Stegostoma tigrinum: one gene and its partners. The protein of the gene in region 3 purifies or fractionates together with the protein of the main gene of each other region. This does not show direct contact. Links are inferred from orthologs where the notes say so. Each region holds a gene or a part of one and is shown on either strand. Other genes may lie near its edges. The genes, in order: snx7, sorting nexin-30 and snx4.

Region 1 (7,916 bases), on a different chromosome or scaffold from region 3:
TCAAACCCGCAGACAAGGGTGGCGCAGTGGTAGTATGGCGTACTGACCTCTACATCGCCGAGGCCAGACGCCAACTCTCCGACACCACCTCCTACCGCCTCCTCGATCATGACCCCACACCCGAGCACCAAACCATCATCTCCAACACCATTCATGACCTCATCACCTCAGGGGACCTCCCACCCACAGCCTCCAACCTCATTGTTCCCCAACCCCGCACGGCCCGTTTCTATCTCCTTCCCAAAATCCACAAACCTGCCTGCCCTGGTCGACCCATCGTCTCAGCCTGCTCCTGCCCCACCGAACTCATCTCCACCTATCTGGACTCCATTTTCTCCCCTTTGGTCCAGGAACTCCCCACCTATGTCCGTGACACCATCCACGCCCTCCACCTCCTCCAGGACTTCCAATTCCCTGGCCCCCAACACCTCATATTCACCATGGACGTCCAGTCCCTGTACACCTGCATTCCGCATGGAGATGGCCTCAAGGCCCTCCGCTTCTTCCTGTCCCGCAGGCCCGACCAGGCCCCCTCCACCGACACTCTCATCCGCCTAGCGGAACTCGTCCTCACACTCAACAACTTCTCTTTTGACTCCTCCCACTTCCTACAGACTAAGGGGGTGGCCATGGGCACCCGCATGGGCCCCAGCTATGCCTGCCTCTTTGTAGGTCACGTGGAACAGTCCATCTTCCGCACCTACACAGGCCCCAAACCCCACCTCTTCCTCCGGTACATTGATGACTGTATCGGCGCCGCCTCTTGCTCCCCAGAGGAGCTCGAACAGTTCATCCACTTCACCAACACCTTCCACCCCAACCTTCAGTTCACCTGGGCCATCTCCAGCACATCCCTCACCTTCCTGGACCTCTCAGTCTCCATCTCAGGCAACCAGCTTGTAACTGATGTCCATTTCAAGCCCACCGACTCCCACAGCTACCTAGAATACACCTCCTCCCACCCACCCTCCTGCAAAAATTCCATCCCCTATTCCCAATTCCTCCGCCTCCGCCGCATCTGCTCCCACGATAAGACATTCCACTCCCGCACATCCCAGATGTCCAAGTTCTTTAAGGACCGCAACTTCCCCCCCACGGTGATTGAGAACGCCCTTGACCGCGTCTCCCGCATTTCCCGCGACACATCCCTCACACCCCGCCCCCGCCACAACCGCCCCAAGAGGATCCCCCTCGTTCTCACACACCACCCTACCAACCTCCGGATACAACGCATTATCCTCCGACACTTCCGCCATTTACAATCCGACCCCACCACCCAAGACATTTTTCCATCCCCACCCCTGTCTGCTTTCCGGAGAGACCACTCTCTCCGTGACTCCCTTGTTCGCTCCACACTGCCCTCCAACCCCACCACACCCGGCACCTTCCCCTGCAACCGCAGGAAATGCTACACTTGTCCCCACACCTCCTCCCTCACCCCCATCCCAGGCCCCAAGATGACATTCCACATTAAGCAGAGGTTCACCTGCACATCTGCCAATTTGGTATACTGCATCCACTGTACCCGGTGCAGCTTTCTCTACATTGGGGAAACCAAGCGGAGGCTTGGGGACCGCTTTGCAGAACACCTCCGCTCAGTTCGCAACAAACAACTGCACCTCCCAGTCGCAAACCATTTCCACTCCCCCTCCCATTCTCTTGATGACATGTCCATCATGGGCCTCCTGCACTGCCACAATGATGCCACCCGAAGGTTGCAGGAACAGCAACTCATATTCCGCCTGGGAACCCTGCAGCCATATGGTATCAATGTGGACTTCACCAGTTTCAAAATCTCCCCTTCCCCCACTGCATCCCTAAACCAGCCCAGTTCATCCCCTCCCCCCACTGCACCACACAACCAGCCCAGCTCTTCCCCCCCACCCACTGCATCCCAAAACCAGTCCAACCTGTCTCTGCCTCCCTAACCGGTTCTTCCTCTCACCCATCCCTTCCTCCCACCCCAAGCCGCACCCCCAGCCACCTACTAACCTCATCCCACCTCCTTGACCTGTCCGTCTTCCCTGGACTGACCTATCCCCTCCCTACCTCCCCACCCACACCTTCTCCACCTATCTTCTTTACTCTCCATCTTCGGTCCGCCTCCCCCTCTCTCCCTATTTATTCCAGTTCCCTCCCCCCATCCCCCTCTCTGATGAAGGGTCTCGGCCCGAAACGTCAGCTTTTGTGCTCCTGAGATGCTGCTTGGCCTGCTGTGTTCATCCAGCCTCACATTTTATTATCTCGAGATTGAGTAGATTACTTTGTACATGCCTAGGCACATATGTAAAACAGTTTATCTAGGCAAAATGGCTTTTTTAAAAAAAAGGCTCAATTTATCTAGTTCTCAAAACTAAAAGCACTTCAAAGGAGTGGGAACTTTCCCCTCTCCCTCATAATCCAAAGTCAGACAACCGGGGGGTGTGCAGTCTGGACTTGAATTCACTCACGGCATAGGTGTTTGCTAAGCATTGACATCAAGTCTCTCCCTGCGACTGCAGCAGAAAACTCCCAATCCCCAATTTTCATGGAATGCGGCAGTTAAACAACAAACTGTGCTGATTGTTTTATTGCGTTTGCAGAAATAAAACAATAAAGAATGGCTCCGCCTGGGAAGGAAGAGACAGATACAGTGGAGAGTCGAGAGTGTGTGTGTAAACAAAAATCACTGCTTTAAAAAGGGCCGCAAGTCAATTCTCTCTTGGAAGAGTTTCCACATTCACATCGCAGCAGATCCTTGGCGGCGGCACAAGCCCCAGTGTACAGGCTGCGGTGGGTCGGCGGTACCGACGCCTACACTAAACTTTAATTGGGGAGTTGGAGAGGGCTCCGGTACTGGGCGGGGGGAGGGGCAGAGAAACTAACCTTACTGAACACCTCCAAGTCATCGTCCTCGTCATCCTCAAAACCCAGCACGTCCTTAGACAGCGGGTGAGGAGCGGCCGCTTTCGAAGTTTTACCGCCGGCCAAAGGCGTACTTTCCATCGCCCTCAGTTCAACAGCCGCTGATGTGTCAGCCCGACCTACGCCCCGCCCCCTCACCCGCCCTGCCGCTCGGCCCCGCCCCCTCATGGGCCGGTTCGGCTACGCACTGACCCCGCCCTTTCACCCAAGACGCCTCACCCACGGGGCAAGACATGGGCTGACCCCGCCCTTTGACTCCCCGCGGACTGACCCCGCCCCCTCACCTCCTGCGGTCCTCCTCCCTTCCCCCCCAACCTCACAGCCAAGACCCAGACCTGTGCCTGACCCCCTTCTCAGACTCAGTTATGCTAATACCGGATAACGAAGTGTGAAGCTGGATGAACACAGCATCTTAGGAGCTGCTTGGCCTGCTGTGTTCATCCAGCTCCACACTTTGTTATCTCGGATTCTCCAGCATTTGCAGTTCCCATTATCTCTACGCTAATACCATGGGCATTTCACAATTGTCATTGAGTGGTGGAGCATGACAACAGACACTTCGGACAAAATGCCAACCAGATATCCTAAATTAGTCTGGTCCCCTTTACCAGCATTTGGCTCATATCGCTCTATTCCTTTCCTGTTCATATACCCATCCAGATGCCTTTTAAAGGTTGTAATAGTACGAGCCTCCAGCACTTCACTGGCAGCTTATGACCCTACACACAGCATCTTCAGCTTCAAAAAAATGCCCCTTAGGTCCATCTTATATCTTTCCTTGCTCACCTTAAACCTATGTTGTCTAGTTTTGGACATCTGTGCCGTGGGAAAAAGACATGGGCTATCCTGATTCGGGGGATGGCAGGGTTGACATATGAAGAAAGACTGGATTGACAGGGCTGTACTTGCTGGAATTTAGAAGAATGAGGGAGGGAAATCTTATCAAAACATAAAATCTTGATGGGTCTGTACAAGCTATTTGGGGGAAGAATCTCGATGTTGGGGAAGTGCAGAACTAGGGGTCTTAGTCTTTAGAATAAGGAGTCAGCCATTAAGACCAAGCTGTGGAAGAATTCCTCCACTCAGAGATTTGTGAACCTGTGAAATTCTCTCCCACAGGAAGCTGTTATAGTTAGTTTATTGGATATATTCAAGAGGGAGCTAGACGTGGCCCTTGCAGCCAAAGGGATCAAGGGGTATGGACAGAAAGTGGGAATGGGATGCTGAAATTGCACAATCAGCCTTGATAGTATCAAATGGTATTGCAGGCTTGAAGGGCCTATTCCTGCAGTTATTTTCTACTTTTCTAAGTTGTGGTCACTGTTTCCCAAAAAGATTCTTCACAGGGACACCATTAATTAGCCCTTCCTCATTAAACAACATCAAACTCAAAATAGAGAAGGGTTCTGTAGAAGGGCCACTGGATCTGAAACATCAACTCTGCACTGTCTCCACAGAAATCACCAGACCCACTAAGGATCTCCAAAAATCCCTGTACTTTGTTCTCAACTAAAAATAGCATGGTTCCAAAGATGAGAAGTTCCAGGAGGCCAACTACCTCGGACATTACTTGGTAAAGACAGGAAAATTGACACCAGCTTGAGTTGAGAGATAATGGGAACTGCAGATACTGGAGAATCCAAGATAACAAAGTGTGGAGCTGGATGAACACAGCAGCCAAGCAGGATCTTAGGAGAACAAAAGCTGAAATTTCAGGCCTAGACCCTTCATCAGAAAAGGGGGATGGGAAGAGGATTCTGAAATAAATAGGGAGAGAGGGGGAGGCGGACTGAAGATGGATAGAGGAGAAGATAGGTGGAAAGGAGAGTATGGGTGGGGAGGTAGGGAGGGGATAGGTCAGTCCGAGGAGGACATGAAACCATGCAGAGGCTTGGGGACCAGTTTGCAGAACACTGACACTCGGTTCGCAGTAAACAATTGCACATCCCAGTCGCGAACAATTTCAACTCCCCCTCCTTTCCTTAGATGACATGTCCATCCTGGGCCTCCTGCAGTGCCATAATGATGTCACTCATAAGTTGAAGGGACAGCAACTCATATTCCGCTTGGGAAACCTGCAGCCCAATGGTAACAATGTGGACTTCACCAGTTTCAAAATCTCCCATCCCCACACTGCATCCCAAAACCAGCCCAGCTCGTCCCAGCCTGCCTAACCTGTTCTTCGTCTCACCTATTCCCTCCTCCCTCATGAAGCCACACCTCCATTTCCTACCTACTAACCTCATCCCGCCCCCTTGACCTGTCCGTCCTACCCGGACTGACCTATCCCCTCCCTACCTCCCCACCCATACTCTCCTCTCCACCTATCTTCTCCTCTATCCATCTTCAGTCCGCCTCCCCCTCTCTCCCTATTTATTTCAGAATCCTCTCCCCCTCCCCCTTTTCTGATGGAGGGTCTAGGCCCGAAACGTCAGCTTTTGTGGTCCTGAGATGCTGCTTGGCCTGCTGTGTTCATCCAGCTCCACACTTTGTTATCTTATACCAGCTTGAGTTGCTGTTTTAAAAGTCAATATGAACAAGAAGAGCATTATGGCCTCGATAATGAGTTCAATATTCTATGGAGGTTCACATAAAGTCTGAAACCTTTATTAAGACCATTGTGATTAACAGGTTATCATTCTCCTCTGCTCATTTTGACGGACTGTAGTACCAACTTTACCCATTCTTTGCAGTTCCATGGCCAATCCCTGAAACACTGCTGCAGGAGAGTTAGGACCTTCCTGGAAAACAAAAGTACTGTTCACTCAAAGGCAATCATAAATTGCAAAGGATCCCAGAGTTGCAAAAATATGTTTTATTCATAAATAATCTTTATAAACATACAAAGTTGCTGAAGCATTTCTGCACAGTGCTTGCACATGAATAACAAGCCTCAGTATTTGGCATAACACGGTGTGAAGCTGGATGAACACAGCAGGCCAAGCAGCATCAGAGGAGCAGGAAAGTATGACGTTTCGGGTTTCTGAAGAAGGGCCTCGACTCGAAACGTCAAGCTTTCCTGCTCCTCTGATGCTGCTTGGCCTGCTGTGTTCATCCAGCTTCACACCGTGTTATCTCAGATTCTCCAGATATCGGCAGTTCCCACTATATCAGCATTTGGTATGTTCTGCAGATTCAAAAAACCCAAAGCATTTCTTACTTGTACAGAACCATATTTACGCACATTTGAGGCACTGGAAGGGTCTGATAACTGAATGTATCCCCTTGTAATTTGGCAGGAAGACCTTAAAAATGGTTATCTTTCCCCACTGCACCTTAGCAGTAGCTGGCCAAGCTTTATTGTGTCCCTCAGCATGTAGCCCTGGACCTCGGAATGTGCCAGTCTGCAATACTTGGTCAAGGTCAACTCTTTGCACTGAAAGACCAACAAGTTTCAGGCAGACCAAAGAGTGTCATTCACCGAGTTGTTTGTCTTCTCAGCGCAGTCAATATTTGTCTTGGTCTGTGTCCCAGGGAACAGACCGTAGTGCATAGAGTCCTGCATCATGGAGCTGTTCAGTGCAAACCTTGAAAAAAAACCACTGCACCTATCTCTAGATCTCCTTTGCAAAGGCATAATCAGGAAGGAGATGTCTGACAGTTCCACCCCCACTTAAAGGGCACAATGCTATGGTAGAGAGACACTCCAGGCGTACATAAAAGATCTTGCACTACATAAAAGATCTCGCAGGTAGTGCCCATCTCACTGCCAACCATGCTACTCCTTCGTGCTTATTGAGAGGTTTTGGTGATGAGGCAATCTGCCAATTGACTTTGACAGTCTTCTCAGGAGCCACTGAACAAGATCACCTCGCCTCCTCCTGCGGAGTCTTGGGGGTGCTAAATGCTGACCACTGACTGATGGACTTATGATCAAAAGATGTTTATAGTTTGATCCCAGGGTTGGCAGGAGTGGTCCTGAATTGGTTTTCAGCTTGTATTGACCAGGTGAGAAAAGGTAATTTGATCTCCCTGTTTGCAATCTTCACCAGGCCACTTGCAACATATTTTCACTTTTTGAAGCTAAGTATCCCACCTCAATTACAACAGAACACTTGTAATAATTTAGGTTTTCTTGACTGAGAAAAGAGGAATTTTCTGATTTACTAATCCTGAGAAATAAATAAATTTTAACATCAAAGACTCAGAACCCAGATGATAATTTATACAAGGAGAATGTCTGGTGTATACAGGAAGAATAAAGACTATGTGCTTTAAACATTATTAGAGATATTGAGATGTTAAATTTTTAACATGAGACCATTCTCAAAGTCATTTTTCTTCTCTATGCCGCTTAAAGCAGCTACTGAAATATGGTTCATTGCTAAATTCCCATGTCTGGTTCCACTGTCAGTGAACTCTTGTCTAATAGCTGCATTTATTATTCAAATTTGAATTAAAGCAGGAGATGCAAATTCCTTGATGTTGGCTCAGTTGTATGGTTTCAAGGCCTTTAGACAAATGTTACCTTTAATTCAAATGGTTTTATTCCATGTTAGTGTCTTGGATGTGCCTCAATCTGTGATCAGATGATTGCAGCAGCAATTTTACAGCAGTAATCTCTCTTTTCGATAAAATTAATTTATGCTTCATTGGAGGCTGCACTGATGATGTTACCCAGCAGGGTAATACAAGTCTGCAAACTAATGAACCAGCTCAGTGAGCAAACCAACCACAGCATCCAACCCCGAGCTACAAATCAACTCAAGAATATTGGAAGCAAATATGCAGGGCAATGATAGTCAAAGTGGCCTTGAAATTTCCTGACTAAGAGTCACTCACGTCTATGACGCAGGCAGTCACGAACCAGCTGGAATGATTGTACGGGCTAAAGTGGTATTTTATATATGATATGAAGAATATGGCTATGGATTCCAAAATCTACCTTTTCCATGTGAAATTAAGATCATTCTAACATTCAATTTGGTCCTACTCTTACAAATTTTAATCTCATGAATCTTGGACATCACAATCTGTTAAACTGGAATAATCTCTCAGTGGCAATCCAGTCT
Region 2 (7,850 bases), on a different chromosome or scaffold from region 3:
GGAATGCACTCTGATTCCTCTTCTGAGTAGTCTTTATGATATAAATCCTTAATTGTCTCAACTTTTTGTTGTAATTCCATTAATCTTTCAGAACCAAACACCTCTGCCTGATCCTCATAGGTTCTTACTTTACCATCTCAACAAACAGGTTATCAGCTAAGTGGACCTCAACTCCATCATCTTTCTCTTTTGTTTCCCCTTTTTGTTTTAACTTACGACTACGGGGTCTTGTTACCACACAGTCTGGAAAAATCCCAGGCTATTTTTCTTTTAAATATTCAGCTCCCTGGTTTTCTTCTGGCTTTTCCACAACAATGGGCTTCACTCCCACCTGTGATCCAGCAATATGGTTTCCAAGAATAAACTGTATTCCTGGAATAGAGATAATGGGAACTGCAGATGCTGAAGAATGCAAGATAATAAAGTGTGAAGCTGGATGAACACAGCAGGCCAAGCAGCATCTCAGGAGCACAAAAGCTGACGTTTCGGGCCTAGACGCTTCATCAGAGACTCTAGGCCCGAAACGTCAGCTTTTGTGCTCCTGAGATGCTGCTTGGCCGGCTGTGTTCATCCAGCTTCACACTTTATTATCTTGTATTCCTGGAATAGCCAATTTTTCCATCACTCACACTATTGCTTTCCCAGTCTTGACTGGACTTTCTAGCCTTATTTTACACAGGGGAACACTACTCCTTTCTCCATTTATTCCACATTTTACCACTCTCTTGGGCAATATTTCAGAAGAAATATAAATATTTTCATCTCTTTTCATCAGACTGACTACCTTCCTTACCTTCAATATTTTAACTTCTTTACTTTTTCCTCAGTTCTACCTGAGTTGAAGTCTTTGAAAAAGTTGGGCACTATCTTACTATCTAGCCTGTGAGTAGGCTGTACACTGTCCTGCAGCCCCTTGATTTCCCTTGGGATTTCCTTCACTATCTCAACTAATCCCACTGATTCAGCTTCTTCTACCACATCCTTTTCCCCACTGCCTTTCTTAATCCGTTAACTCTGTGACTTGGTGTGTCCCACCCTATTGCAGTGAATCCACCTGAGATCTTGCACCTCTTTTTCACCCTCTTGGGTTTCTTTTTCATATGTGGTAAACTGTTTCCAGTGTGATCTACTTCTTGTTGTTCATTGAACCATCTCCCTCTTTCCCAATTTCTATCCATCACAGAATGAAGTTGCTCGCAAAAGCTAGATTTTGTTTTATGCATAAATAAATATTCATCTGCCATCTCTGCAGCTCTTCTCGCTGTTTTAACTTTCTGTTCCTCAACATGAGTTCTTATCATTTCTGGAATTGAGTTTTTAAACTCCTCCCAGCAGAATATCTCTAAGATCCTCATGTGTCTTTGCTACCTTTAATGCTTTCACCATCTATCAAAGTTGCTCTGCTAAAAATACTTTCAAACTCGATATAAGTCTGACCTGGTTCCTTTCTTACATTTCTGGTACCAATTCGTAGGTACACAAAATAGCCTGTTTTACTTCTTTATACGTTCCTGATACTTCCTCTGAGAGCGCTGCTCACACCTCACCAGTGCTGTCTACCAAATTAGTCTGAATTAACGTTACCCACACAGTCTCTGGCCAGTTCCTCTGTTTAGTCAATTTCTCGAAGGAAATAAAAGAAAGCTTCTACATCTTTTTGATCACATTTTGGTAAGGTTTGGACATATTTAAATATATCCATACCAGGCCTTTGGTTACAATGGGTATGCTCATCATCACTATCCTTCTCACTAAGTCCACCTTCTACCTTCACCTCCATCCTGTTACGTTGGCTTCCCTGTCTGTCACCTTCTGAAGGTCAAAGTCTCTCTCTCTCCCCATCTCCCTCCTTTTCGTTTTGTTCAGCTACAAACCTTCTTTCCCTTTCTTTGTCCTCTAACTCCAGGGTCTCATTTGCAATTTAATTTTTTTCTAACTCTACTGCACTTAACTGTTTCTCTGATATACCTAAATTCTTGACTAACTCCGTCACAATTTCAATTTTCTTATTATCCCAAGTGAAACCCAATTTTAGCCTGTCTACTAATTCTAAAAGTGTCACCGTCTTCTGTCTTTCTAAATTTTTTTGGCAAATTTGGGAAGCATCTTTGACCCCGAAAACCTCTTTAGCATTGTTAAGAGCTATTTTACCAACAACAAGCAACCAACATTAAGCAGATTTTTCACTTTCACTTACATTGTATTTAAAGATCAAGGATACTGGTCCTCAATTCTGTTTAAATCTGCTGGGACCTTTCATACTCTAAATCTGTTCGAATCTGTCCAAGTCTGTTCATTTCTGCCAAATCCTGAACAAACCTCCACTTTTTTATAAAGCAGAGGTTGATTCCCCTCTGAGAGCTAAAACTGAAACACCCAAAGAGGAGCACCTCATTATATAATCTGTGAAAAGAGTGTGTAAAGTGGTATGACCTGCCTTTCAGCAACTTCCAGTGGTTAAATAAAATAAATCCCTGACAGTTGCTTAAAAATCAACAAGTAACAATTCATTTACCTAATTCTAACAGTGAATGAATCAATTAAACTATTAACAAACTCCCTTCTAACTACTAACTATTCCCAAAAAAAATTCTCATGGTATGCTATTCTAATAAAAGACCCACTTGTATAAATTTAAAATAGAGTTTAGACTCTCAGCATTATAACCAGGTTACGTGTCTTCTGGAATGTTCTGTGCTTTCTCCATTGATTATTCAGTCAGGAATGCCTTCTCTGTTGATGCTTCTGTCAGAAATATTAACTAGTTGTGCCGTGGGTACTTTGTTATTTAGATGGTGCTTTCCCTAAGACATAGATGAGGCTATGAGAGCCAGTGATTCTGACTCGAGGGCTGAGGGCTGTTAGCTCTGGCGAATGGCAGTTAGCTCTCTGGGTTTTGTCCAACTGCTCCCTTTTTATACCCTTGATAGCTTATCAATATTTCTTACAATAGGGTTGGTCCCTATGATGTCAAAACCATCAAATTTAATAGGTTTTTTGGGATCTAAGTGCCTGGTTCAAATTAATTGGCTAAATTTTAAAGCTTGTTGTTTTGGTAAAAACTGCTGCCTAGCCTGCTACTGTACAGCCTTTTGATACAAATGTTTCAATTCGGATGATCTCTGTGAACTTGCAAATATTTAAACTGCCACTCGCAGACATCCATTTAACTCTCTAAGCACAGAAAAAGCACATAATCTTTTAAAGGGACCATGCGGTGCTTTCCCGCCCTAGCATTTTACTAACACCAAATTCTAACTTCCTGCATCCCATTCCAGAAGTACTCTACTGAACTTCACAAGTGAATGGGAAAATTGTATCTTTACCACCTTTAAAAGGATTTATCCTGAATGTGCTGGGTCATTGTCATCTGCTGTCCTTCAACTTGAGGTCAATGCCTACTCTTTCTGTCATGAATCCCCATATCACTGTGCAGGCCAGTGCTTAACCTGCAGATCTTTGGATACATAGAGGAGGATATCATTAAGTCACACTTCTTTCCATCTCTGTTGCTGCTCTGTTCAAATGGTGTGCTGATAATCAACAAGTTCAAACTAAACAAAGTGACTTGAAATGGACGAAAAAAAAGGTTACAACCGGAGAACAATCTATCTCTCCAAATCCTGTGAAGGCAATCTTCAGTTGCAGGATTAAGATAAATAATTGAAACAAGGTGAAAAGATGATCAGACAGAAAAAGGACACGAGCAACAGTTGCTGAAGTATTACTTATGCAGTAGCATAACAGTACAAGAGAAGTCAAATATTAGATGAGAACTAGAGAAGTAATAAGCACATTCACAGCTGAGGATAAATATTTGGAAAACAAAGAGACTTGAATTTGTATAACTTTCACAAGCAATGGATGTCTCAAAGTGCTTCATAGCCGATTATATACTTATGGAGTGTAGTCACTGTTGCAACAATTTGTGCACAGGACATTCCCACTATCAGGAATATGATAACATTTAGATAACCTATTTTTGTGATGTTGTTTGAAGGTATAAATGTTGGCCAGGGCATAAGGGATCACTCTCCATTGGTTCTTTGAAAAAAAAGTCACATGGTCTTTTACATTCATTGAGGACACAAATGGCTTCTCATCAGATTCAAATATGAGATCCCAACATTACCATTTAGGAGTGGCAGTCTTGATTTGTGTGTTCAAACTCTGAAGTGGTCCTTGTACCTGAAACCCTACACTGCAGAAGCCAGTCTACTACCAGCTAAGCCATGGAAGTCAACCATCTAAACGATCATTTCATTCAACTGTGTGCAGGGATTACATTCGATTAAATTTTTGGCCTCGAGTCATTCAGTACATTAAAGGCGCTATACAAATGCAAGCTTTTTTTGTTTTCGACATTACAATAGTACTGTACAAGACGTTCTGAGTACTTAAAGCATTCCCTGTTATAAATTTTACATAAATGCAAGTCTGTCCAATACATCTTTTTGATACATTTCACTTTTCCCACTCTTCCTCTGGGTCCGAAACGGTTTTTGTTCCCAAGGGCCAGCAGCACCACTCTCATTGCACGCCACCTGGCGGCGAGGAAGAGTCCACCGTCGCTCGCCTGCTGGCGCCACCCTGTGGTGCGGCGGAACGAGGGGCGTGTGGAACAAACAAAGAGTCAGGGGACAGTCGGGTGTAGACAAGAGCCGACGTGACGGTTGCGGCAGCAGCTGAGCGACGCTCCAGCGCCTCCTGCCGTGCCGGCGGAGAGGAGGGAAACGGATTCCCGGCCCATGCGCAGTGGCGGGGCTGCTCAAGCGTGTGTGGGGGTGGGGTGGGGCGGGGAGAAGGAGGCGGAGCTGGACCGGTGGTTTTTTTTAAATGGAGGCGGTAGAGAAACGGCGAGAAGGTGGGGCGGCGGTAGCAGTACTGGGGGGAGGCGAAGGAGGCAGCGATTCCGTAACGATGAGCTCGGCGCTTTGCAGACCGTTACCGTCCTCGGGGCTCAAGTCTATCTGCGACGTGTCGCATCCGCTGTCGGCGGAGGAGCTGTTGTCCCCCGGGCCCGAGCCTCAGCCTCAGCCTGAGCCTGAACCCGAACCCGGATCGGGAGCCGAGCCGGCGGCTAGCGGAGGGGACCAGGTGAGGGAGGGCCCCGTAACCATGGGAGACCGGCAGGGGAAGGAGAAGGATGTCGTGAGGACTGTGGTAATAGTAATGAGCATGGGATGAGTGGGGCGGGGGGGGCGCTGTAGCGTGTTTGGGGACCTGGGACTGTATGAGGAGTGTAGGGTGTGTCCTGGAGGAAAGGGTAGAGGTCGTGGTAATTGGGTGGGGAGGGGGAAGTAAAGGAGCAGGGGATATGGGCCCCGTGGGGGAAGAAAGATGGCTGTAGTGGGTCGATGAGGAGAGATAGGGGATGGGTGATAGTGTTGTGTTTTATGCGGTTGCATAGGGATTGATAGTGTTGGCCGTGTGTTTGTTTGATTATGTGGGTGAGTGGGTTTGTTTATGGCGGGGGGCTGATGGCTTGGGGGTGCCTTGAGGTGGTTTTGTTTTGTGGGTGGGGATATTGGAATGATGTGTGGTCTGTGGTTATGGATACAGTAGGTATGGTTTAGTTGATGGGGTGAGGAGAAATTGGGATTTGGGGGAATGTGGGATGTTTGGGATTGATGGAGTAGGGTTTTCTAGGATTCTCTTCCATCAATAGTGCATAGATCAATATTTTGCATTTCTAATAGCATCATTTTGGAAATGAATACTCAAAGATTTGGGTGACCCCCTGCAGTTGTAGGTGTGCAAATGCACCTGGGTAAAAGCAGGCTGAACTTGAGAGTAGGCAAGGATGTTTGAAAATGTTTAGTAGTGCAGTGAGATTACATGTGACTGCAGGAGTTGCATTTTCCTGTTCGATAGGGGATCTTTCAGTTTACCTGTGTGGAGAGAGAAAAGGTCAATACTTAAGGGTGATCTGTTTTCTGCCTGGAATTTGGCAGGCAATCCATTTGGTGATTGGTTGAAGTATAGGTTTTGGCCCCAGGACACAACTAGTGCTTGAAATAGAGCAGCTGAGTTTCCACGTTCACTGGGGATACCTCTGTTTAATATCTCATCAGGAGTGTGGTTCTTTGAGTGAGGTAAAAACTGAGTGTCAGCCTTTCTTTCTATCCAAGCTCAAATCTTTACTACAGGTGTTGATCTAGTCTTCTGATTCAGAAGCAAACATGTTGCTCACAGGCCCACAGCTGTATGTGCTGTTTTACTTCCTCATTATTTTTCTTGCAGCCCATGACAAGAGGTCAGCAATCTGAAAGTATTTTCTCTTGAAACTAATTATCTGAATAACTGTTCAGCAGTAGCCAATAGATTTGCAGTTTGCAATGCCATAGATACTTACGTTTTGAAGTTTACCTGCATTTTCCTTGTGTTTCTGCTTCGGATTCCTCTCTGTTTGCACAGAGGGCTCTTTGTCATGTAAAGTTAAATGAATCTGAACATTTTACTTTTTTCCCAAGGTGCTGTGAATCATTTAGTCTCTGGTATTCTATCTCTCATGCATGTTAAATTAAGTACTGATTTGGAAATCTATCTCTTCCTTTATGATACTCTTCTTCACCACCAACCTCTGATCCCCTCAGCCACTTATTCCTAACATGCATGTGAAAATCTGATCAGTCCTGTTTACGTTAGTTGGTGTTCATTCTGGATGTGAGATTGCTCGCTGAGCTGGAAGGTTAGTTTTCAGACGTTTCGTCACCACTCTAGGTAACATCATCAGTGAGCCTCCGACAAAGCGCTGGTGTTATGTCCCGCTTTCTATTTATCTGGTTAGGTTTCCTTGGGGTGGTGATGTCATTTCCTGCGTTTTTCCAAGGAAACCTAACCAGATAAATAGAAAGCGGGACATAACACCAGCGCTTTGTCGGAGGCTCACTGATGATGTTACCTAGAGTGGTGACGAAACGTCTGAAACTAACCTTCCAGCTCAGCGAGCAATCTCTCATCCAGAACCTCAACCTGAGCTACAAATCTTCTCAAAACTCACTTGGTGTTCATTGTTCACCCTTTTTCTGTCAGTAAAGGAAAATGGTTAACAATTTTCTGTTAACCTCTTTACAGCAGTTTAGCACATGATAAAGAATGTCTTGTAGAAAAGCCAGGAGTTTTTTTCACTTTCTCAATTATAATATAACATCCCACATGTCATGCTTTCATGTCATCTCTAGTAAAGGTATACATGATGCCTTGTGGTTATATTTGGGACAGTTTTCTCCTTTTGCATTTTTAAATTGTAGTAATTATTGATCATTTTACTCAGTGTCCTCATTTCACATTATCTGTTGGCTTTGCAGACTTTATAATTCTTCAACTCAACTCCTCTGGATGTCTTTTATAGCTGTGCTATTCATGTTTGGTTTTGTCTAAGCTTTGGAACCCTCCCCTTGCTATTTTTAAGATGTTCTTGGGAGGGGGGGGAAAAAAAAACTATTCCCTTAGCAAACCTTTGGCCACTTGTCTGGGTCTTCCTTAGTGATTTGGTCATTGACAATGCTCCTGCCAAATGCTCTTGGATGCTTGCTGTGTTGGAGGTGCTTTGTGAGTTGCCACAGAAACTGGGGTGTTAAAATGGTGTCATTATAGTTTTGGCCATGAGTTCATACATTCTTTTGCAAGATAGGCAGTAATATTCCAAAATTCACATTGAGATTACTTCAACATCAGTAGTAGTCGTAAGTTAATGGAGTTCAGCTGATGACTAGAAATATTGACAACAAGTATGCAATCTAAGGTTTTAGTCTAGTGCAGTACCATATGTTTGCACTTTGATTTATTGGAAGAATTTTTACATCTGGTCCACATGAATGTTTAAAAATGGATTTTTTGCAGGATCT
Region 3 (6,958 bases):
TCAATGGTAGTAACATCACTGAATCCCTCACTATCAAAATACTAGGGTTACCACATACCAGAAAGTGAACTAGGCAAGACATAAATAGCTTGAAGAGCATATCAGAGGCTCATTACCCAGTAGCAAATAACTCACCTTCTGACCATCTACAAGCCACACATGACTGAATACTCCTCATGACCTGGACACATGCAGCTCCAACAAGACGAAGAAGTTTGATACCATTCAGGACATCGCTATCCACTTGATTTAACACTATACCCACAAACATTCACCCCATCTATTACCAATACTCAGTAGCAGCAGTGTGCACCAGCTACAAGATGCACAGCAACAACTCACTAACGCTGCTTAGTCAATAACTTCCAAATCCACAAGCACATTCATCTATAAAGATGAGGATAATAGATACATAGGTACACCACCAGCTGCAAGATCCACTCCAAGCCACTCATCATCATCAGGACTTGGAAATATATTGCTGCTCCTTCAGCATCACTGGTTAAAATATTGGAACTCCCTCCCCAACAGCTTTATGAACGCAGCTGTCTACAAATGGACTACAGTAGTTCAAAAAGGCAGCTCAACATTGTCAGCCTGCCATTGAGCAGGCTGACAGCAAATGCTGGCTCATCTACCAACAAAAAAAAAAAACATTGGTTAAAAATCCATCTCGTTCACAAACATCCTTTAGAGGGGGGAAAGAAAATCAGTCTTCCTGCAGACTCAAAAATAGCCCAGAGAGCCAAATAGATTTTGTTCAACAAGATGAGTTAACATGACTTTCTGAAAAACAATTGAAATGGACAAGACATACCAGTCATATCCACAAATGATGCTACTAAAATTAATGTTGCATTTAAATTATTCTCCACCAGACAGGTGAATACAGACCAGATAATTTCCTTTAGGTTTATTATACGAGTTTAAGGGTTTAGACATTGTCTATGAAACAATGCCAGCGGCAAATCAAGAAAATCAAACTAATGTCAAAGTACAGCAATTTACCACACTGTGCACAGTTTTATTATACAGACAAACACTGAAAATATTCTGAAATTTGTGCTCCTCAAAATTAAGGAGTTCACAGCAGACGAGGCAAACAGTATGCATAACTCAGTCTAGTTTAAACATTAGAAGAAAAGTGGACAAGAAAAACAGAATAACAGAGGAGGCCACATCAAATGAAGAATTATACAACACCTAATTGTTGCAAACTAGACTGCAAAAGACCTGACAAAGGGGTTCTTCTGGTACCAAAGGCATTGTTACTACTTGAGCCAGTCCAACCTACTCCAGAGCTGTGTTATAATATCTGACCAGACTGGATTACAAAACATCTCAAACATCTGACAATGAGAATCTAATCAGAACAGTACAGCAATGGGCTGCATCGACACATGATCCTCTTCCAGCATGTAATTTCAAAAGAAAAAAAAATGTTTACCAAATGTTTTTGATGCTTAGGTGAGCTTCCACAGAATCACTAAAGTGTAAACAGGCCACTCAGCCCAATGAGTCCAGACTGACCCTCCAAAAGAGCATCCCACACAGGCCCAGTAACTCTGCATTTCCTATGTTTAACCCATCTACACCCCTAAATACTATAGGCAATTTAGCATGACCAATCCACCTAGCTTGCACATCTTCAGACTGTGGGAGGAAACCTGACCAACTGGTCAAAACCCACACAGACATGGGGAGATTGTGCAAACTCCACACGCCGTCACCAGAAGGTGGTAGCTAACACAGATCACTGGCACTGGCACAAAGAGGCAGTAGTGCTAACCTTTCAATCTACTGGCTCTTCTGAGGATGTTTGTTTTAAAATATTTTCAAAGCAAGTTTCATTTTAGTTGTATCTCTATTCTTATTTTCTACCAAGAATACCAGATCTTTACCCAGTATGCCCACCCACCCTAAAAAAAATCTTTACAGACTACATTCAGTCAAAGAAAAAAGTGAATAAATGTTCACTTGTGGCAAATATTTTACTTTGTTAAAACCTTCCTAATTTTTGGAACAAAACTGTAAATAAGCATTAGTTGGTACACATTCTTTTGCATTCTCTTTTGATGATTTGATTTTTTAAACATTTTAAAGCCAGAGGTTTGAGACAAACATCTCTTTCCATTGAGAAAAAAAGTCCCTCAATTCTCAGTGCATTCTTGCCAATAAACTCAAGTTATTTAACAGCAACAGAAGTACTTTAGAGTAAAACATAGTTAGACAATTAAATTCTCAACATAAGTGCATTATGTCCAAAGATGTTGGTTTTAATATGCCTTGCTTTTTCTAAGAACCACTAATGACAAATGCTTCCAAAGCTACTTATTAAGAATCTGTTCAAATACTAAATCTAAAATCTTTCAACAGAGGTTGGAATATTTCGGGCTAAAGGATGTTATCTCTTGCCCCTGACAAAAAGTCACTGGACTCTAAAACTATCTCTGCTTTTTCTACACTTGCTACCAGAGCTGCTGAGTTTCTCCTGCACGTTTTGTTTGCGTTTCAGTTTCTTGCTGGCTTGGTTTTATTGCTATAAATATCTGCTTAGTTAAATTAATATTCGAAGTTTTAAAGTAGGACATTTGACTCCGATTGGTTTTGTTCTTGGAAAGTCAGTGCTTTTTTTTGACATTTCAACAGCTTCTTTCCAGGCGGCCCCAACGCTGAGCTTTGTAGCTAGAGAGTTTAAAAGGTAAGCCCAGACCAGCTGGCACACAGATCCACCCACGGCAAAACCCATTCAACACTCACCTTTGCTTTTCCCTATACCGGCCAACATTAGCACCCAGTTCAGTCTGCCTACTGCCAAGATCGCTCATATTATACCAAAATCGCACAATCGAAGTTTTTAGTAAAAAAACACCGATTGACCGTTCATCTACTTTCCGATAGATATCTATGTTCAGTTACCTGCAGGAGAATGCACTATTGGAATACCTCAACGTCAAGTCTATCTTGACCCCTAACAAATGAAGGAATTGAACACTGTCAGAACGTAGTGTAAGGATGCTAAATCAAACAATAAAAGACTCCGGCACGCTGCCCGCCATTAAAGATGGCCTCCGTGAACCATCTGCGCATGCGTAGCGTACGAGCGGACCTAAAGATCACGTGCCGCTGATTGAAAGACACGGGATTCAAGCGCGTGCGCCATTAAGGTCCTTTTTTTGGACGTCCCCACACCCGCATGCGTACACGCTAGATCTCTTTCCAAAGCTCCGACAGCCGAGTCATTAAGAGGTGCGCAAGTGTGAACAAGCGACGCATGGGCGAAGTAAATATTCTCCTCCCCCTTTGAAACGGGACGTATGACGCAGCCGAAAGAGATTGTTTTGTTTTATTCTTTCATGGGGTTTGGACGTTGGTGGATGCCTATTTCTAATTTCTCGACCGGAAACATTAACCCTGATGTTCATCCACAGAATCTGCCGGACCTGCTGAGCTTATCCGGCAATTTCTGTTTCTGTTAGCAATTATGTGCAGAAGGAGATTATTCACCCCATTTTATCTGCCCTGGCTCTTTGGGCATTTTAACTTGATTGCCAAACTTCTGCTTTTGACCCTACCCCTCCCTGTTTAAACAGTTATTCAGGCCCTCGTGAATGTCTCCATTGATCCAAACTCCAGCACACTTGTGGCAGACCTGACCTAATCTGGTCCACTGGCTATGTAAAAAGTCTTTTTTTGCCTTATATCAAAGGTTCTCCCCATTGACGGGGATGTACTAAACAAAACTGAGATACTGATAAGTCCTCAATCAGTTAGAGATAGCAGGAACTGTAGATGCTGGAGAATCTGAGATAACAAGGTGTGGAGCTGGATGAACACAGCAGGCCAAGCAGCATCAGAGGAGCAGGAAAGCTGATGTTTCGGGCCCAGACCCTTTAGCTTTCCTGCTCCTCTGATGCTGCTTGGCCTGCTATGTTCGTCCAACTCTACACCTTGTTATCTTTAATCAGTTAGTAGGTTTTAATTTATTAACATGTGTATGTAAATTGCCAAATTCCCTTCCAAGTCATGGTCCTGGGAGAACTAAAGTTTTCATCAGTGTAAAGGAGAAGTGACATTTTAGGTCAGGCAATGAACGTTAGGTTATTTAGAATCTCAGATAATGGGAACTGCAGATACTGGAGAATCTGAGATAACAAAGCGTGGAGCTGGATGAACACAGCAAGCCAAGCAGCATCTTAGGAGCACAAAAGCTCCATCTGAGGCAACCACCGAGAAACCGATATCCATTTCAAGCCCACCGACTCCCACAGCTTCCTAGAATACACCTCCTCCCATCCGCCTTCCTGCAAAAATTCCATCCCCTATTTCCAATTCCTTCGCCTCCCCCGCATCTCTCCTAGGATGAGGCATTCCATTCCTGTACATCTCGGATGTCCTTTTTTTCAAGAACCACTGCTTCTCCCCTGCAGCGGCCGAGAACGCCCTCGATCGTGTCTCCTGCATTTCCCGTGACTCATCCCTCACACCCCATCCCCGCAATAACTGCCAAAAGAGAATCCCCCTCGTCCTCACATACCACCTCACCAATCTCCGGATCAAACGCATCATCCTCCGACGCTTCCGCCATCTGCAATCCGACCCCACCACCAAAGACAATTTTCCATCCCCACCCTTGTCTGCTTTCCGGTGGACCACTGTCTCCATGACTCCCTTGTCCGCTCCACACTCCCCTCCAACCCGACCATACCTGGCACCTTCCCCTGCAACTGCAGAAAGTGCTACAATTGCCCCCATACCTCCTCCCTCACCCCCATCCCAGGCCCCAAGAAGACTTTCCACATCAAGCATATGTTCACCTGCACATCTGCCAATGTGGTATACTGCATCCGCTGTACCCGTTGTGGCCTCCTGTACATCAGGGAAACCAAGCGGAGGCTTGGGGAACAGCTTTGCAGAACACCTACGCTCAGTTCGCAATAAACAACTGCACCTCCCAGTCACAAACCATTTCAACTCCCCCTCCCATTCCGTAGACAACATGTCCATCCTGGGTCTCCTGCAATGCCACAACGATGCCACCCGAAAGTTGCAGGAGCAGCAACTCATATTCCGCTGGGGAACCTTACAGCCCAGTGGTATCAATGTGGATTTCACAAGCTTCAAAATCTCCCCTCCACTACTGCGTCCCAAAACCCGCCTCCCTAACCTGTTCTTCCTCTCACCTATCCCCTCCTCCCACCTCAAGCCGCACCCCCATTTCCTATCGACTAACCTCATTCCACCCCCTTGACCTGTCCATCCTCCCCAGACTGACCTATCCCCTCCCTATCTCCCCACCTACACTGACCTCTACTGGCTCCATCCCCACCTCTTTAACTCGTCTGTCTCCTCTCCACCGATCTTCTCCTCTATCCATCTTCAATCGCCTCTCCCTCTCTCCCTATTTATTTCAAAACCCTCTCCTCCTCCCCATTTTCTGATGAAGGGTCTAGGTCCGAAATTTCAGCTTTTCTGCTCCTAAGATGCTACTTGGCCTTGTTTAGGATCTGTTTATTTTAGTTTGGAGTCAGACTGGTTTTATTTCTAAAGTAGGAATGTATAAAACTCCACATTGACTGACTGTCTATAAATTGTGTTATTCTTGAACAAAATACAATGTATGTGCAAGTACAAATTCACCCCATGAGCTCTTGGATTTGTCTGTGTGAAAGTGAGTGTGAGTGTGCATGTGTATGAGAGATGGGGGTGGGGGAGAGAGAGAGATGCTTGAGAGACAGACTGTGCATGAGAGAGGATCTGCGTGAGTGTATGTGAGAGAGTGTATATTGTATAGCGGTCAGCTGTAGTGCGACATGAATGCAAGATCCCGGCTGAGGCCGTCATCATTGGTATCGAACTTGGCTATCAGCCTCTGCTCGGCTTTTTATAAATTCCTACTTTAGAAGTAAGACCAGTTAGACCCCAAACTAAAACACAAGCAGATTCTAAGCAAGACCTCATACCTAACATGCATTGACTGACGTAAAATGTCAACTCTTCTTTACACTGAACGAGTATGGTGTAGACATTTGATCTTTTACTTGTAAATTTTGTGTATAATTCTACCTGTTTCACTAACACCTGAAGAAGGACTGATGCTCTGAAAGCTTGTGTTTTCAAATAAACCTGTTGGACTATAACCTGGTGTCATGAGATTTCTAACACTGACCTATATAGTTAAGCGTAGCCTCCATGCTCTGATACTGTATGCCCGTGTGAATACTGTATGCTTTATTATTAGGTCTCTCTACCTGCTCTGCCATCATTAATGATTTATGCAAATATACACTCAAATCCCTCTGCTCCTGCACTCCTTGTGGAACAGTACCCTTTGTTTCATATTGTCTCTCCTTTTTTTTACCAAAGCGCATGAACTGCCACATCTCAGTGTTGAACTTCGTCTGCCGTCTGTCTGTCCACTCCACCAACTTGTCAGTGTCCTCCTCACGTAACTTGTCGTTGTCCCCATGCAAAGACCAGTAAATATTTATTGTTGTATTTCTGGTTGTGGACTGAATTGGGAAAAGGACTGTTTTAAAAACAAAGGCTTGCTGCTCATTTTAAAAGCAATTTGCCTGACACTCACTGTAAGCACTCTTTATACAGCAGTGAGTGAGGGGGAATGGAGACTCTAATTGCAAATAAGCTGGAGCTGAAGAGTAGGAGATCAGTTTGGTGACTGGTTGTCAATGTTAAAAGATCAAAAACTATGTGAAAGGCTCCCAGGTGACTGAAAATCTGTTTGGTGTGAATGTTTACGCAAATACCATTAGACCTCCAGAAAGGAAGGAGCTGATCCTTTCCTCTGTAGTTAAAATCTCAAACTTGAAGAAAGCCTGTTTATGTGCTGTTATCAGTTGCTGTAAGCTGTGGCTCTTAACCAATAAGTCAGAGACCTTGTAAGTCTGAACCAGTCATCCTGTGCCCCCTACAAATACGTGAAAGTATCTGGAGAGGC

The links.
Region 1: the proteins of snx4 (region 3) and snx7 purify together in Homo sapiens (affinity purification with mass spectrometry; 3 studies listed by BioGRID and IntAct, counting the BioPlex papers as one, with this or other methods). This does not show direct contact. The link is inferred for Stegostoma tigrinum from reciprocal best matches to the Homo sapiens genes SNX4 and SNX7.
Region 2: the proteins of snx4 (region 3) and sorting nexin-30 purify together in Homo sapiens (co-immunoprecipitation; 4 studies listed by BioGRID and IntAct, counting the BioPlex papers as one, with this or other methods). This does not show direct contact. The link is inferred for Stegostoma tigrinum from reciprocal best matches to the Homo sapiens genes SNX4 and SNX30.

The regions. Positions count from the first base shown.
Region 1 is NC_081361.1:81,509,272-81,517,187, forward strand, and holds the start of snx7 (sorting nexin-7), read right to left. Parts: upstream 3,033-7,916; 5' UTR 2,986-3,032; coding exon 2,866-2,985; intron 1-2,865. UniProt on the Homo sapiens protein: Involved in the regulation of endocytosis and in several stages of intracellular trafficking. Together with SNX4, involved in autophagosome assembly by regulating trafficking and recycling of phospholipid scramblase ATG9A.
Region 2 is NC_081356.1:32,264,373-32,272,222, forward strand, and holds the start of sorting nexin-30, read left to right. Parts: upstream 1-4,815; 5' UTR 4,816-4,836; coding exon 4,837-5,097; intron 5,098-5,103; exon of another isoform or gene 5,104-5,118; coding exon of another isoform or gene 5,119-5,163; intron 5,164-5,318; exon of another isoform or gene 5,319-5,444; coding exon of another isoform or gene 5,445-5,450; intron 5,451-5,542; exon of another isoform or gene 5,543-6,095; intron 6,096-7,850. UniProt on the Homo sapiens protein: Involved in the regulation of endocytosis and in several stages of intracellular trafficking. Together with SNX4, involved in autophagosome assembly.
Region 3 is NC_081360.1:66,184,598-66,191,555, forward strand, and holds the start of snx4 (sorting nexin-4), read right to left. Parts: upstream 3,098-6,958; 5' UTR 2,920-3,097; intron 1-2,919. UniProt on the Homo sapiens protein: Involved in the regulation of endocytosis and in several stages of intracellular trafficking. Plays a role in recycling endocytosed transferrin receptor and prevent its degradation.